Linked DNA regions of Oryctolagus cuniculus. The protein of the gene in region 1 interacts with the protein of each later gene in a biochemical or structural test. Links are inferred from orthologs where the notes say so. Each region holds a gene or a part of one and is shown in the gene's direction. Other genes may lie near its edges. The genes, in order: CUL3, KLHL20 and DCUN1D5.

Region 1 (4,994 bases):
TTGTACGGGTTACATTTTTAAGCATTTAAAAGGCAGTTTGTTGGTATCCATCAAATACAAAATGTTTATGACTTGGAGAAAGCCAATATATTTCTATAGAAGTTTTCTTTAAAAAAATCTGGCAGTTGTGTTCAAAGACAGAAATGGGTATAGCAGGACAAAGTTGAATCCACTCTCAGTCTGTATCTGTATCATGATAGCAATGCTGTGGAATTCCATGTAGCTTTAATATCTATGCTAATGTGGAAAATCTGAAGAAATTAGTAGAAAAATCCCTATGTTATTATCTCATTTATGTACAACACTCATATTAGGTGTAAATAGGAGGGTGTGTTCATATACATAAATGTAAATGTGTGTATTTGTATTCATGTTTATATAGGTGAATAGGAAAAGGTATGGAAAGATATATAGTGAATTGCAGTAGTTACTTCTGAGAATTAGCTGTAATTACCAGAGAAATAGCCCCTAAGAAAGTATTTTTGGTTTTTTGAATGTAGTTAAACAATAACTGTAATATGTAAGTCACTTTTAACATGCATAATATATCCATTCTAATAATAGTGTTATTTTAATTTTCTGGTATTAAAATTGGCAGCACATTTAGGATCATTTGAAGGAAAGGAATGTATATAATCACTGAAATTGGATCTTGAACTTGAAAATAGAAATCTTTCTGATTTCCAGATTTTAAGATTTTTGTTTTCATTTGATTACACACAGGCAGTAAATACAGTCAACTTAGATTGTAACTATTTATGGAAGACTGATGGACTGTACTCCATTTCGCTGGTTTACTCCCCAAATGCCAGGGCCAAAGCTTGGAGCCAGGAACACAGTCCAGGGTCTCTCATGTGGATATTAAAATTCAGCTACATGAGCAGTCACCATTGCCTCTTGGGACCTGCACTGGCAGGAAGCATAAGACTGAAGCTGCTCCAGTGCTAGGAGCTAGGCTCAAGCCTATTCCTGTGATGTGAATTTTAATTGTATAATAGAAGAACTGCGATTAGGCTCACTTTACTCTCTTTCTAGGAAAGATGTTATTAAGTGAACAGGAGTATACCTCATCCTGGAAGGAAAATTATAAAATGTTTCTAAAATCAGTAGTTACATGTTGGTTAACACTTTATTTTTACCTAAACATTAAAGTAGGTTCTTGATAATCTCTACTGGATGACATATTTGGATGAGGCATTATATCTCTTGGAACAAAAAAGAACATGTTTTAATATTTTGTAATTTAAATCACCCTTTTTCAGTTTGTTTAAACAATGAGATTTTAATGATAAGTCATAATATTCAGGGAATTCTTGTTGTAAATTATTTCTTTAATAGAATTACCTTGCTCTAACCACTGCTTGGTCAATTTACTTGCTAATTAACTAATGTGCTCTTAATTTTCCAATAAGTCTAATTATGTCAATCTGATGAAATTTCAGGAAATTCAGCAAGAGACAGATATCCCTGAAAGAGAGCTTGTTAGAGCCCTACAGTCCCTCGCCTGTGGTAAACCAACACAGCGGGTTCTTACCAAAGAGCCCAAGTCAAAGGAAATAGAAAATGGTCACATATTTACAGTTAACGATCAGTTCACATCCAAACTACACAGAGTCAAGATTCAAACAGGTATCTGGAATTATATTTTTCCTCTTAAAAAGATTATATTTTTTTCTCTAGAAAACATTTTCATCTGTTTCTATTAAAAAATAACGCTTTTCTAGTGCCGTGTGATTCTTACGCATAAGAAATAAAGCAATTTTTATTGATAAATGCTTGTATCAGAATGTAATTGAATCCAAGTACAATAAGCATTTTGGAAAGTAATTCATAATATGAACAAGGTACTTCTTTCCTTGTTTTTCAGCAAATGAAATTTTGCAGACATGCTAATACTTAAATTATTTTTAACTTGTTAACTAATAGACACTGGAAGTCTATTTTTAAAGCCCACTTACCATTTTTCAAAATTTACCTATGTAAAATTTGGTCTTTTAAATACAACTGTTTATGTTTTGATAAACATTTAGGATTCAAAATCTTAAATTATATATTATCTTGAATTCTGAGACATAGAAATTACAGTTTTGAACAGCTTGTAGTATAGGCTTCTAAGTTCATAGTGAAAAATTGTATCGATTATATATTTAACATAACGCGAAGTGTGTATTATCTATTTATTTAAGGGGAAGAAAGTACCCTGCTTTTGGGGATATTTAAAAATCATGTAGTTTACTGTCTGGTTTCAAAATTACTATTTAGAGAAGCTTCCAAGTACTATTTCATCCATTACAGCTTATTTATCTGTGTAGTAAAATAGTATTTTAGAGTAAGCTAGGTAAGATCAGTTTTTAAAATACCTATAGTTTTCTGATTTAAAAATAGATATTTAGTGAAAGATTAGTGTTAAAAATATATGATTACCAGAATACATTGATTCAAGAACTTTTTGTACATATTTCATTTGTTTTCCTCCTTGATCTTTTTGATTTTTTTGTATATATGCTTTGTGAACCAGTGTGGAGTGTCTATTAAAGCCTGATCAGCTTGTCTCATAGTTGGGATCTGTATCATTGTAATCTCAGCAGCCCAGATTGGCCCAAGTCTTTGTGACACAGAAATATTAAACAATCTTTAAAGTATCATGGAATATAATTTCTTTTCTCCTCTAGTGCAAGGCCTTTAAGCTTACAGATTTGGGCAGATGCAGGTTTTGGATTGGGAATTTCAGTGCTCATTTGTATCCTAGATTTCACAAAAAATATATGGGTATATATATATCTGAATTACCTGTGTTCACCCTGCTTTGCCCTGGATAAGTATCTTTGTAATCCCTGATTGCATCATGTCCAGTAATGAGCAGTTATTGTGGAAAAATAATTTCTGAATTTTTAGTTTTTGGTGTTAAGTTGTATGCAGCACATGTTTGTGTATAGCATGTTAGGTGTGATTAAAATAGAAATTGGTTTTATATGATGAAGGATTTGACTAGATGAGCTCTTGAAAGTTCTTTTCAATGATAAAATTCTGCAAAGAAGTATATTTTTCATTTGAGGATGGTTTTAGATGATCTTGGCTCTGAGTCATATTTTTTTAAGTGAAAATTTTCTCTTTGGCAGTAAATATTGTGACCATGTTGGTGCGTTGGTTTTCTTAAATTGCCAAAGGCTCAGTAACATCAAAAACACAGACTCTGACCTTTCCCTTTTACGCTGCTTTTGCTGTAGCCAGCAGTAGCAGTTTTGTAAAGAAGTTAACAAAATTATTAACAATACTCAATATTTGAAAAGAATTAGATTCGTTTTAGTCTACAGCAGTTTCCAGTGGTGACAGTACTCTCCATCTCACCACTTGCCTGCTTAAACTCCTCTTGCCTCAGCATACATATAGCTATATTTGTAGGCCCTCAAACAAGCAAACCCCTCTGTTCTCGTTAAGTACAGAATGTTGTGTTGGACTCTGTGAGTGAGGCCCTGTGCTCACATTTTTCAAAGCCATCATATTTTAATGTATTATGACCAGTCTTCTCGTTTATCTTTTTTTATGCATATTTAAGGAGTACACCTATTTAGGTGACCAAAGCCAAAAAATTTCCCCAACATTTTTTTCTTAAGATTTTATTTGAAAGTCAGTTACAGAGAGAGAGGAAGAGACAGAGATTCTGTCCACTTGTTCACTCCCCAAATCGCCTTGACAGCAAGGGCTGGGCCAAGCCTGGACCTCCACCTGGGTCTCACATGTGAATGGTAGGGGTCCAAGCACTTGGCTGTCTTCCCTGCTTTCCCAAGCACATTAAATAAAATACTTATTTTAAAAAATACATATTTTCATACAAAAATTTTTAAAATCAATGCATAGGTTTTTTCATAATACACATTTTCTCTGAACTTTTTGAAGGCCACTTATATGTGTGAATTTCAGTTTTTCCTTGTACCAAGATAAACATCTTTGAATTCTATTTCCCACAAACTTTTTGGAGTACTCTTATGTACCAGCCATTGAAATTTTTCCATATATGCTTTCTCTTCCTCCCCCTGTGTATGTATGTCTTTGTGACAGCATTTGAAATTGATTCACAAACAACACTTTCCCTCTAAACTTCAGCAGATACTTCTTAGAATGAAATATTTCCCTACATCACTGTAATACTGCATTACATATTATCTCTGTACCTTATTTCTGTGTCCTCGGTTGTCTCAAAGATTCCTTTCATACCTTTTAGAATCTAGGATACTATCAAAGTTTCTACATTATTTCATTTTTATGTCTCTTTACTTCCATTTGAACTAGTATCTCTACTTTAACTTTTCACATGACCTCTTTTTTTTTTTTTTTTTTTAAGGAAAAGTATTATTATGCATAGGTTATTTTCATCCATTCTGTTTTGCTAAGACATTAGGTTTTGGTTTTTTTTGTTTTTTGTTTGTTTGTTTTTTTTACAGGCGGAGTTAGACAGTGAGAGAGACAGAAAGGTCTTCCTTTTCCATTGGTTCACCTCCCAATGGCCGCTGCAGCCAGCGCACCCCACTGATCTGAAGCCAGGAGCCAGGTTCTCCCTCCTGGTTTCCCATGCGGGTGCAGGGCCCAAACACTTGGGCCATCCTCCACTGCACTCCTGGGCCACAGCAGAGAGCTGGACAGGAAAAGGAGCAACCGAGACAGAATCTGGTGCCCCGACTGGGACTAGAACGCGGGGTGCTGGTGCCGCAGGTGGAGGATTAGCCCATTGAGCCGCGGCACTGGCCTGCTAGGATATTAATTAGTAATAACACTGGGAAATGATGCTGAAAGCAGTATTTTTTTACTGAAGGATTCTAATTAATTAGAAACAGCTGAATGGATATGCACACCATAATGATTTTCTGAACTGTAGAGTGTGCTGTCTCTTGCCTTGCCTTAGTTAGCAGTGTCCAAAGATCTTGTTTGTGATTTCCCAATTTCTACCCCCAGAAAATTCACGTTTCCTTTTAACGACCAAATATGTCAAAAATCAA
Region 2 (4,994 bases), on another chromosome or scaffold:
TTTTGAAGTACAACTTTTATCTCCAGACTCAAATTAATCTAACAAAATCTTTTTCTAGAGGTTCTGAAGAGTCCTACTAAACAAGCTAAAGCTTCATGTGTCATCTTATTGTTTTAATTTTCATAAACTGAAGAAAGGATTTCTAAGTAAAGATAAACCTTAATCTGGACATGGCTGCATTATCACTAATTCAAAATTGATTTAAATATTAATTGAAGCATATTAGCTTAGATTGGATTTTGAACTTGGAGAAGCATACCACCTTATCTAAAAGGAGTATAAGCAGTCATTATTACAATAGTTACAATTCAAAATGGTTGATATATAGCAAACCCTGAACTGAAAGCTTTTACGCGCATTATCTCCTTTAATCTTTACTCTATGGGACAGGTTCCTGTTTTAGAACTAAAGATACTAGGAAGGGTCAGTACTAGGATATCCACCCAGCTCCCTTTGATTTCAGAGCCTGCTTTGATGAACTACAGCTAGAAAGATGCTAAAAAATCAAAATTAGATTAGTCATAGTACCCCTCTGTCAGAGCTGTTATGCTTGGTTGGGAGAGATGAAGGAAGAAATCTTTTTATATAATCAAAAAAATTTTAATAAAATAATTTTTTTAAAAAAGATATAATAAAAACACTTTAAAGCCGGCGCCGCAGCTCACTAGGCTAATACTCTGCCTGCGGCACCAGCACCCCTGGTTCTAGTTCCGGTTGGGGCGCCGGATTCTGTCCCGGTTGCTCCTCTTCCAGTCCAGCTCTCTGCTGTGGCCAGGGAGTGCAGTGGAGGATGGCCCAGGTGCTTGGGCCCTGCACCCCATGGGAGACCAGGAGAAGCACCTGGCTCCTGGCTTCAGATCGGCACGGTGCACCGGCCACAGCGCGCTGGCCAGAGCGGCCACTGGGGGGTGAACCAATGGAAAAGGAAGACCTTTGTCTCTCTCTCTCTCTCTCACTGTCCACTCTGCCTGTCAAAAAAATAAAAAATTTAAAAAAACACTTTAAGACACCTGATGTTTGACTCAATCCAGTTTATATATGAGAAGGAACTCTTCATACCTATTCGTTTCTCTCTGAATGAATTCTAAAATATTTGATTTGATTATTTTCTTTCTTAGGACCAACTATTAGAATTAACCCTATAGTTATTTACTGTGCTCCTTATTTATATGACACTTGATTTATTTAATAATTATTTAGAATGTAAAGACTGCCTTAAGGGTACAAAGCTTTTCTTATTAGCTGACAATATTTTTACCCATATAATTAATACTCAGTTTTCTTCGATATCATAAAGTTTGCCTCAAAGTTTACCTCTTATTCAGAGACTGATGAATCCTCTGAATTATGTTTGGATCAGCAATTGCTTATAGCCTCACAGTGACACCCTGTTATATAATCTATGCTGTGATAGTGTGTATGCATGTGTGTGTGTTTTTACCTTTTATTTTCTATTTCCTAATTTACTTCTTTAAAACTACTGTAATCATATAATCTTGATATGTATATTATATATATTTCCTATCACATTTGGTTAAGGTAGTGATTATTTTATTTTATTTTATTTTATGTATTTGAGAGACAGAGAGCTTCCATCTACTGGTTCACTCTCTGGATTCCTGCAGCAGCCAGAGCTGGCCAAAGCTGGGAGGCACAAGCTCAGTTCAGGCCTCCCACACAGGTAGCAGGAACTCAGTTACTTGAGCCTTCATGCTGGCTCCCAGGGTCTGCCCTGGCAGAAAGCTGGAGTCAAGAGCCAGAGCTGGGAATCAACCCAGGTGTGCTGATGTGAGAAGAGCCATCTCAACCACTAGACTAAATACCCGTCCTGATAAGACTCTTTAGATCAAGTATATACCAATTATATACCATTTAGAGTAAAATCTCTTCCTTTGAAAGTTAACCAAAAACTTTCAGATCTTGAGCAATTGTTGTTTTGCGACATAAGACTGTCACACTAACCTCTCTTGGCTCTGAAAATTCTAATACCTCTTTCAAGAAATGTGACTAAAATTTCCTTGTGAGGGTAGGGCAAACTGATCATACCTCTTGTACTTGGTAGCTGTTAAGTTTCTTGGACATCAGTTTTAGATGATTTCCAAGGTTTACTAAATACTAAACTATGAAAAATATATATCTTGGGGCCGGTGCTGTGGCACAGTGGGTTAAGGCCCTGACCTGAAGTGCTGGCATTCCATATGGGCACTGGTTCGAGACCCAGCTGCTCCTCTTCCGATCCAGCCCTCTGCTATGGCCTGGAAAGCAGTGGAAGATGGTTCAAGTCCTTGGGCCCCTGCACCCACGTGGGAGACCTGGAAGAAGCTCCTGGTTCCTGGCTTTAGATAGGCGCAGCTCTGGCCATTGCAGCTATGTGGGGAGTGAATCAGCAGATGGAAGACCTCTCTCTTTATCTCTACCTCACTCTGTAACTCTGCCTTTCAAATAAACAAAATAAATCTTTAAAAAAAAAGAAAAAATATATCTTAGATCAAATAAATATAATATTAATGCATGAAAATAATTTTTTCAACCCTGGCCTTTTTCCCTTCTGATCTTTTCATGCAACATGTGCTGTAGTTAGCAGATTTTATGATGAACCTTAGAAAAATTCAATGTATTGCCCAGTGAAAATAAGAAATAAATATCAGCTATTATAAAAAAATAACAAATACTGATATTCTGGTTAAACTTGATTTAGAAATTAAGCTTCATATATCTGTTTCATGCAGAGACAAACATTTACAAATGCTCTGTATTAACATTGTGTGGGAAATGACCCAACGCAGTGTAACTACTTCAGGATGAAAAGGAATTATCATTTCTTTTATGAGAGCTCTGACTTGGAATTATTACCATTCATCCTTCAGGAAATTTTAAAGAAATTAATGGGTCTTAGGAAGAGAGTTCCTTGGGGGCTTATTTCTCTCTCTTGTTAATTGCACATGTTTCTATCTCTTGATTTACAAAGCTTAAAGGCAGAAGTTCTCCTAATATTACCATCTTCCCTCCCTCTCCTTCCCTCCTGTAGGTGTACCAACATTCGACCAGGAGAGACTGGAATGGATGTAACAAGCCGCTGCACTCTTGGAGACCCCAACAAACTGCCAGAAGGGGTTCCCCAACCTGCCCGCATGCCCTACATCTCAGACAAGCACCCTCGACAGACCTTGGAAGTTATTAACCTTCTGAGAAAGCACCGGGAGCTCTGCGATGTGGTTCTAGTTGTGGGAGCTAAGAAAATATATGCCCACCGAGTCATCTTGTCAGCCTGCAGTCCCTACTTCCGAGCTATGTTCACAGGAGAACTGGCAGAGAGCCGTCAGACCGAAGTCGTGATCCGAGACATCGATGAGAGGGCCATGGAACTCCTGATTGACTTTGCGTATACTTCCCAGATCACTGTCGAAGAGGGCAATGTGCAGACCCTTCTGCCAGCTGCCTGCCTCCTCCAGCTGGCAGAAATACAGGAGGCCTGCTGCGAATTCCTGAAGAGACAGTTAGATCCTTCTAACTGCCTGGGCATTCGGGCTTTTGCTGATACACATTCATGTCGTGAGCTGCTAAGGATAGCAGACAAGTTCACTCAACATAACTTCCAAGAGGTGAGTTGTATTTGGTGGTTTGAACACATTTGTAACCTATTTGTCAAGAGAGGGATACGAGTTCATAGTCTGTTAACACCTGCCCGAATATTTGCTGTTGATCCTAACTCACAATGTCATAGAAATATTTATAAAATCTAAGCCTGATTTTTATTTTGGAAGCCAATTTTATGTTTTACCAGCAAAACTTATGGCTTAGGGATTGATTCTCCACAGCTATATTCTTTTTTTTTTTTTTTTTTACAGGCAGAGTGGACAGTGAGAGAGAGACAGAGAGAGAAAGGTCTTCCTTTTTGCCGTTGGTTCACCCTCCAATGGCCGCCGCTGCAGCCGGTGCACCGCGCTGATCCGATGGCAGGAGCCAGGCTCCAGGTGCTTTTCCTGGTCTCCCATGGGGTGCAGGGCCCAAGCACCTGGGCCATCCTCCACTGCACTCCCTGGCCATAGCAGAGAGCTGGCCTGGAAGAGGGGCAACCGGGACAGAATCCGGCGCCCTGACTGGGACTAGAACCCGGTGTGCCGGCGCCGCAAGGTGGAGGATTAGCCTATTGAGCCACGGCGCCGGCCCCACAGCTATATTCATAAAAGGCTTATTTACAACCCAAAATACATTTCACTAATTCCTAAGAGGATCTGTACCTGATAGAGCACCTGGTATCAGTCATTTGCATAAGGCATTTCCTTCCTGGTTACATGAATTATTCAGCAGAACAAATTATAATCCAAACTTAAAAGAAAAATGAGGGTCAACGCCGCGGCTCAATAGGCTAATCCTCCACCTGCGGCCCCGGCACACTGGGTTCTAGTCCTAGTCAGGGCGCCAGATTCTGTCCTGGTTGCTCCTCTTCCAGTCCAGCTCTCTGCTGTGGCCCAGAAAGACAGTGGAGGATGACCCAAGTCCTTGGGCCCTGCACCCACATGGGAGACCAGGAGGAAGCACTTGGCTCCTGGCTTTGGATCAGCATGGTGTGCCAGCCGCAGCACACCAGCCGGAGCGGCCACTGGGGGGTGAACCAACGGAAAAGGAAGACCTTTCTCTCTGTCTCTCTCTCTCTCACTGTCCACTCTGCCTGTCAAAAAAAAAAAAAAAAAAAAAAGAGTAGAAAAGAAAGGGAAATTCATATTGCCTTAAATATCCGAAAATCTGGTCACATTTATTGAAAATAACTAAAACACAAAACTGCACCAAAATACTATTAACTATTCATAACTTTATACAGTCTGTTGGCATGTTAGCAGGGAAATAGGTTCATTGTAGTATGAATTTGAAGTTTGTCAGTATCTGTTAAAATTGTATACTTTTTCACACAGTTTATGATCCAGCAGTCCTGCTTCTAGGAATTTGTACTCTATATGTACTAAAGGGTGGCACAGTGTAAGGAGATAAGATCA
Region 3 (5,094 bases), on another chromosome or scaffold:
CATTGTATTATAGCAGGTTAACCTGACTGCCTGCAGCACCAGCATCTCATATAGGCACTGATTTTCACCCTGGCTGCTCCACTTCTAATCCAGCTCCCTGCGAATGTGTCTGGGAAAGCAGCAGAGGACAGCTCAAGTGCGTTGGCACCTGCACCCACATGAGAGACCTGGAAGAAGTTCCTGGCTCCTGGTTTCGGCTTAGCCCAGCCCTGACCATTGTGGCCACTTAGGGAGTGAACTAGCAGGTGGAAGACCTCTCTCTCTCTCTCTCTGTTCCCTCTCTCTCTGTGTAACTCTGTGTTTTGAATAAATAAAACAATTTTTTTTCATGGTTTTGTTCTAAAGCTCTGAAAAGCCAAGGGATATGTGTATGAACAAGATGCCAAATGTATGATGGAGCCATGTTTCAGTCCTTTAGCTTACTTCCCTATCCATCATAAGTATATGTACACTGTCATAATAGATGGATATCATTTAGTTTTGTACTTTTTTTTACATTCTTTTGTATAATAGTAGGATACATTTATGTGCCTTTCGTAAAGTTATTAGTGTCATCTTTGCACCTGAAACCAGAACACATGAGTTTTTCTTTAAGGTAAATCCTTAATCCCTTCCTTTCCTTCTCATTATTTTTATTTTAAAAATGTTCTGTTGTACATTGAAGAAGCACAGTTATTTCACATGGTTTGTTTCTCTATTATAGGTAGCTTTTGATGAAACATCAAAATCCACATGTTGGTGGCCAGCAGAGAAAATTAAAACCATGTTAAGTATGGGCTGGCATTGTAACACAGTGGGTTACACTAACTCTTGTGGTGATGTCATCCCATGTCAGAGGGCTAGTTTAACTCCTACCTATTTTCCAATCCAGCTAATGGTGGCAGGGCAGTGGAAGATGGCTCAGGTGCTTGGGCTTGGAGTTCTTGCCTCCCAGCTTTAGCCTGGTCTAGACCTGGCTTTTGTGGCCATTTGAGGAGTGAACCAGTAGATGAAAGTTATCTATCTTCCTCTCTCTGTTATTCTGCCTTTCAAATAAATAAATCTTTAAAAAAAAAAAAACCACATAGCTAGTATTTCTATACTGCTCATAGGTACAGAGGCTATCAATATGGCCCTTTTGTGAGATAAATTCAGATAAGTGTACGAGTCAATGACTTTTGACAAGTACATACACCAGCACCCCAACTAATGCACAGTGTATCTATCATCCAGAAAGTTCCTTTGTACATCTTTGCCGTCTTCCCTATTTCTACCCTATCCCAAGCCCCATGTGTTACAGATATGCTGTTCCTTCAGATAAGTTTTACATGGTAAAAAATTTTGTCACATATCAAATTAGTATTACAATGTCCAGTTGTCTCAAAATGCTATATGAATTGTTGGCTTGAATCAATATTCAATAAAAATCATATTAAAAATCATCGCTATATCCTTTAAATCCTTATCCTCTCTTCCTATTAATTTGCTGCAGAATCCGGGTCACACGTCTCGAAGACTTCCTGACAGTTTAGATTTTGCTGTTTGCTGTCCGGTAAATTCCTTGCTACTCAGTCAGCAATCATCTACTATCTCTCTTCCGAGAGGTGAGTTCTGTATAAGTAAAAATTGTGCAGTTAAACTTCACTGCGGGACACAGTGGCTAGCAGAGGTTGAGAAGTGGGGGACGGGGGGGGAAGGAGCTAGAGGCCAATCACAGGTCCCTGAAGAAAATATGCTAGACACTGACAATGCGTTTAAATGCGGGAACACTAACGATAAGATTACCGTTTGGAAGAGCTCAGGAGTGAAACCTGGTCTAGTTCTTCAGAATATTTTTAACGCCAGTTGCAGAATATTCGTTTCATAAAACATTCTCGGTGGTGACTACTAACACCAAGGTGGGGGTGGAAGAGAAAGGCCAGGATACTAAGTTTTGTTTGCAGTAATTCCGGCACAAAGCAGGACTTCTACCTTTTCCTCGGTTAGACAGCAGGAACCCACCGCCCCTGCGGCTAACCTGGGTCAACTAGAGCCACACCCCTTCCGGCAACCCGCGCGCACGCGTCACTTCCGAATATAAGGGATTCGCATCCGGGTCAGGCTGAGCCGCTTGCTCCCTGTGACTGGCGGAGGTGCCGCGCTGTACGCGTTATTTCCTCTCGGCGAGACCGACCCGCAGTGGCCACCGGCGAGGAGCCACCCCTGTCCCAGCGAAGAAAAAAGAGCAGGAGACCTGGGAACGCACGGCCGCCGTGCGGGGCCGAGCCGGGCCAGCCTGACGACTCTGCCCCTCCGCTTGCTGCTGTATTTGGGAACGAAGTGCCAGCGCTGAGGGGCCTCCAGCAGACATTGACCCCCTTCCCCGGCTCCCCTGCCCACCCTGCCAGGGAGGGCGGAAGATGCCGGTGAAGAAGAAGAGAAAATCCTCTGGGGTGGCAGCGGCAATAGCAGAAGACGGAGGCCTCAAAAAGTGTAAAATCTCCAGGTACCACTTCCACCCTTTCCTTCAAGCTTTCCTTCTTCCTCCTTTGCTGGGCAGCTGGAAGAAAGGGAGTCGGGCCCGGCCTCCCGGTCTCGGGCTGGAGAGGGGTGAGGCCCCCTTTTCCAGCCAGGCGGTAGGTGCAGAACACCGGGAGTCCGCGCCGGAACCGACCTCGTGCTCGCTCGTGTGTGTGCCCCGGCGTTCACGGAGAGCCCGGGGCAGTCTCCAGCATTAGGGGGTGCCTGCCCTGGAGGTGGGGGAAACAGATGCATCTGTAAGCTCCGCTCGTTCCCCTGCCCCGCACTCCCTTCATCCCACCCTCAGCTTTTTAATAGACGTGGAAGTAAAGGGTCGCTTTCAGAATTTCTTTGTAGCTTGGAAGAAAAGAGCGTGAGGAATTCTTGGCTTGACAACTGCTTTGGGGACGGTAGGAAGGAACTCTTAGGCTAAAATTGGCCTCCAGATGTAGTATTCGAAGCCCTAACGGAGACCATCTGAGCTGCAGGCCTTTCATATGGTAGGGACCTCATTTTCTGGAAACGTAATGCCTCCGTCTATTCCAAGTCCTCGTGTGCAGGCTTGGAAACACCCAGAATGCTTTTTGTTCTCTAACATTCAGCACAGTGTTAGTTCTTGGTATCAGTATTAGTAATTTGGGAGCTGTTGTACACCATGCTCGGTGAACTGGAGTTACAGCTCTTTGCATGATAGCATATCCTTGGGGCCTCACAGCAACACCGCATGCTGCAAAAAGAAGCATTGCAATTTAGAAATGAGAGGTGGACTGGACGTTGTTGGTTTTTATTTCCTTTGGGAGTCTTTGTATCAATGGTTGACACCTGATGTAACAATGTCAGATGCCACCATTCAAAGAAGACAGTAGCCAGCATTACAAGGAGGAAATAACAGAGCTTCTCTTACAGAGAGATCTGCTGCTTAAAGTGTGAGGTAGGTAACTTAATCCAGTCTTCACCTTCCTTTTCGCCATTGATTGACTTTTTCCTTCATTATTACTGTGTTTTGGCAAAGGAGACCAAGGAGTATTTCTGAGGCCGTTTAATGTGACACAATTTTCTTACACCTCTTGGTCTAGAGAATTTTTATATGAATTTTATATGAAGGCTCCACGAGCTCATATTTTTGTGAAACAAATTAGTTTTTTAGTTACTCTTAATTTGTGACCATCTTGAGTGTATAAAGTGTCAAAATTATTTAAACCAAACATTAGATTAGCTGAGCTGGCAATGTTACTAGAACTCAGGATATACTTTGTCTCTCGATTTTTTTTTATTATGCATACTTCTTTGACATATTACTCAATTTCATTTCTGTATCATTGTGATAGTGTAATTATTTGAATTTCAAGGTACTCTAAAGTGCATGAAATCCTACAGGCCACTTTGGAATTAATCAACTTTTAATGATTTCATCAAAAAGTGTTGAAAATGATTTTGTCTGAGATTAAGTAGCTTTGGCTGAATTATTGAGACTTACATTAACTTTTAGAGTTTTTGTTTTGTTTTGTATTTTTTCTCAGTCTATGGAATTTAGTATACCTGTAGGTCCTATGTCATTTTTATCTTTAAATGTTTATTTTAGCTTAGTAGATGATAAATGAACAATTCTTAATGTATCTTTTTATTTTGAAATATTGGTCAAGTATCTAAATATACTTTGTAAGATTTTGTTTTCAAATGTATACCTGTTATATACAAATATGATTTCCATATGAATCAGTAGCAGAAACAGAATATAGATTTTACACTTTCCCAACTAACAATCCTGCCTCGAGACTTAGGTTGAACTTCTTTGTGTAGTCTTTTGCAATTTTGGGAGATAATTTCAGTTGATATTTTAGAATTTTATAGTGAGCAAAGCAGCATTTGGGGTTGTTATCCATAAATTTTTACATTTAGACTACTGAATTGGAAGTACTTCAGTTTTTTTTCCCTATAATGTCAACGTCTAAAAATATTTTGTTTACTTTGAATTGCGGTAGTTCTTATTGAACTTAGTTTTTCACTAAGAATTGAGACTTAATAAAAATCTTAGGCATTTGTGTGTTTTCTAAGCTATTGCAGATCCCAACCCCCTGCTAGACTAATAAGTGGAGAGGAACATTTTTCAAGCAAGAAGTGCCTGGCTTGGTTTTATGAGTATGCAGGTAATGAAATTAATGTAAGAAGATACCAGTCATATGCTTTAAAAATTTTTTTTGGTTCATTCATTTAACAAATTGTTTATTACAGGCCTGCTATGTCTTAGTGCTGTGCTGGGATCAGAGCAAGGCTGAGGATTGTGGGTAGGCTAGGAATTTGGTGTCGGTTCAGACTGATATTTCTTTAAATATATATTCTGTATTTATTTAGTGGGAGGATGAATGTGTCAACAGAGACAGATTCACTTATTAATTTATATCTGTTGACTAAAGCAGTATTCTGGAAAACAAAGTACATGAAACGTTTTTCTATGTAATATTTTTTAAAGTTTTTTCTGAATTAAACATTTTTTGAAACTTTGGGGAGATACAGTATAACATTTAAATCTCAAATATATTGTATATCATTGCATTGGCAGACCCTTTAAAGATTATTTATCCTCAAGATACAATATTAGAAACCAAATAGCTTGAT

What was found.
Region 2: the proteins of CUL3 (region 1) and KLHL20 form a complex in vitro, tested with the Homo sapiens proteins (2 studies listed by BioGRID and IntAct). The link is inferred for Oryctolagus cuniculus from reciprocal best matches to the Homo sapiens genes CUL3 and KLHL20.
Region 3: the proteins of CUL3 (region 1) and DCUN1D5 form a complex in vitro, tested with the Homo sapiens proteins (2 studies listed by BioGRID, with this or other methods). The link is inferred for Oryctolagus cuniculus from reciprocal best matches to the Homo sapiens genes CUL3 and DCUN1D5.

What each region holds. Positions count from the first base shown.
Region 1 is NC_091434.1:14,738,308-14,743,301, forward strand, and holds part of CUL3 (cullin-3), read left to right. Parts: intron 1-1,442; coding exon 1,443-1,629; intron 1,630-4,994. UniProt on the Homo sapiens protein: Core component of multiple cullin-RING-based BCR (BTB-CUL3-RBX1) E3 ubiquitin-protein ligase complexes which mediate the ubiquitination and subsequent proteasomal degradation of target proteins.
Region 2 is NC_091438.1:2,170,096-2,175,089, forward strand, and holds part of KLHL20 (kelch-like protein 20), read left to right. Parts: intron 1-3,028; coding exon 3,029-3,602; intron 3,603-3,610; exon of another isoform or gene 3,611-4,994. UniProt on the Homo sapiens protein: Substrate-specific adapter of a BCR (BTB-CUL3-RBX1) E3 ubiquitin-protein ligase complex involved in interferon response and anterograde Golgi to endosome transport.
Region 3 is NC_091432.1:94,775,480-94,780,573, reverse strand, and holds the start of DCUN1D5 (DCN1-like protein 5), read left to right. Parts: upstream 1-2,045; 5' UTR 2,046-2,378; coding exon 2,379-2,464; intron 2,465-3,323; exon of another isoform or gene 3,324-3,409; intron 3,410-4,533; coding exon 4,534-4,625; intron 4,626-5,094. UniProt on the Homo sapiens protein: Contributes to the neddylation of all cullins by transferring NEDD8 from N-terminally acetylated NEDD8-conjugating E2s enzyme to different cullin C-terminal domain-RBX complexes which is necessary for the activation of cullin-RING E3 ubiquitin ligases (CRLs).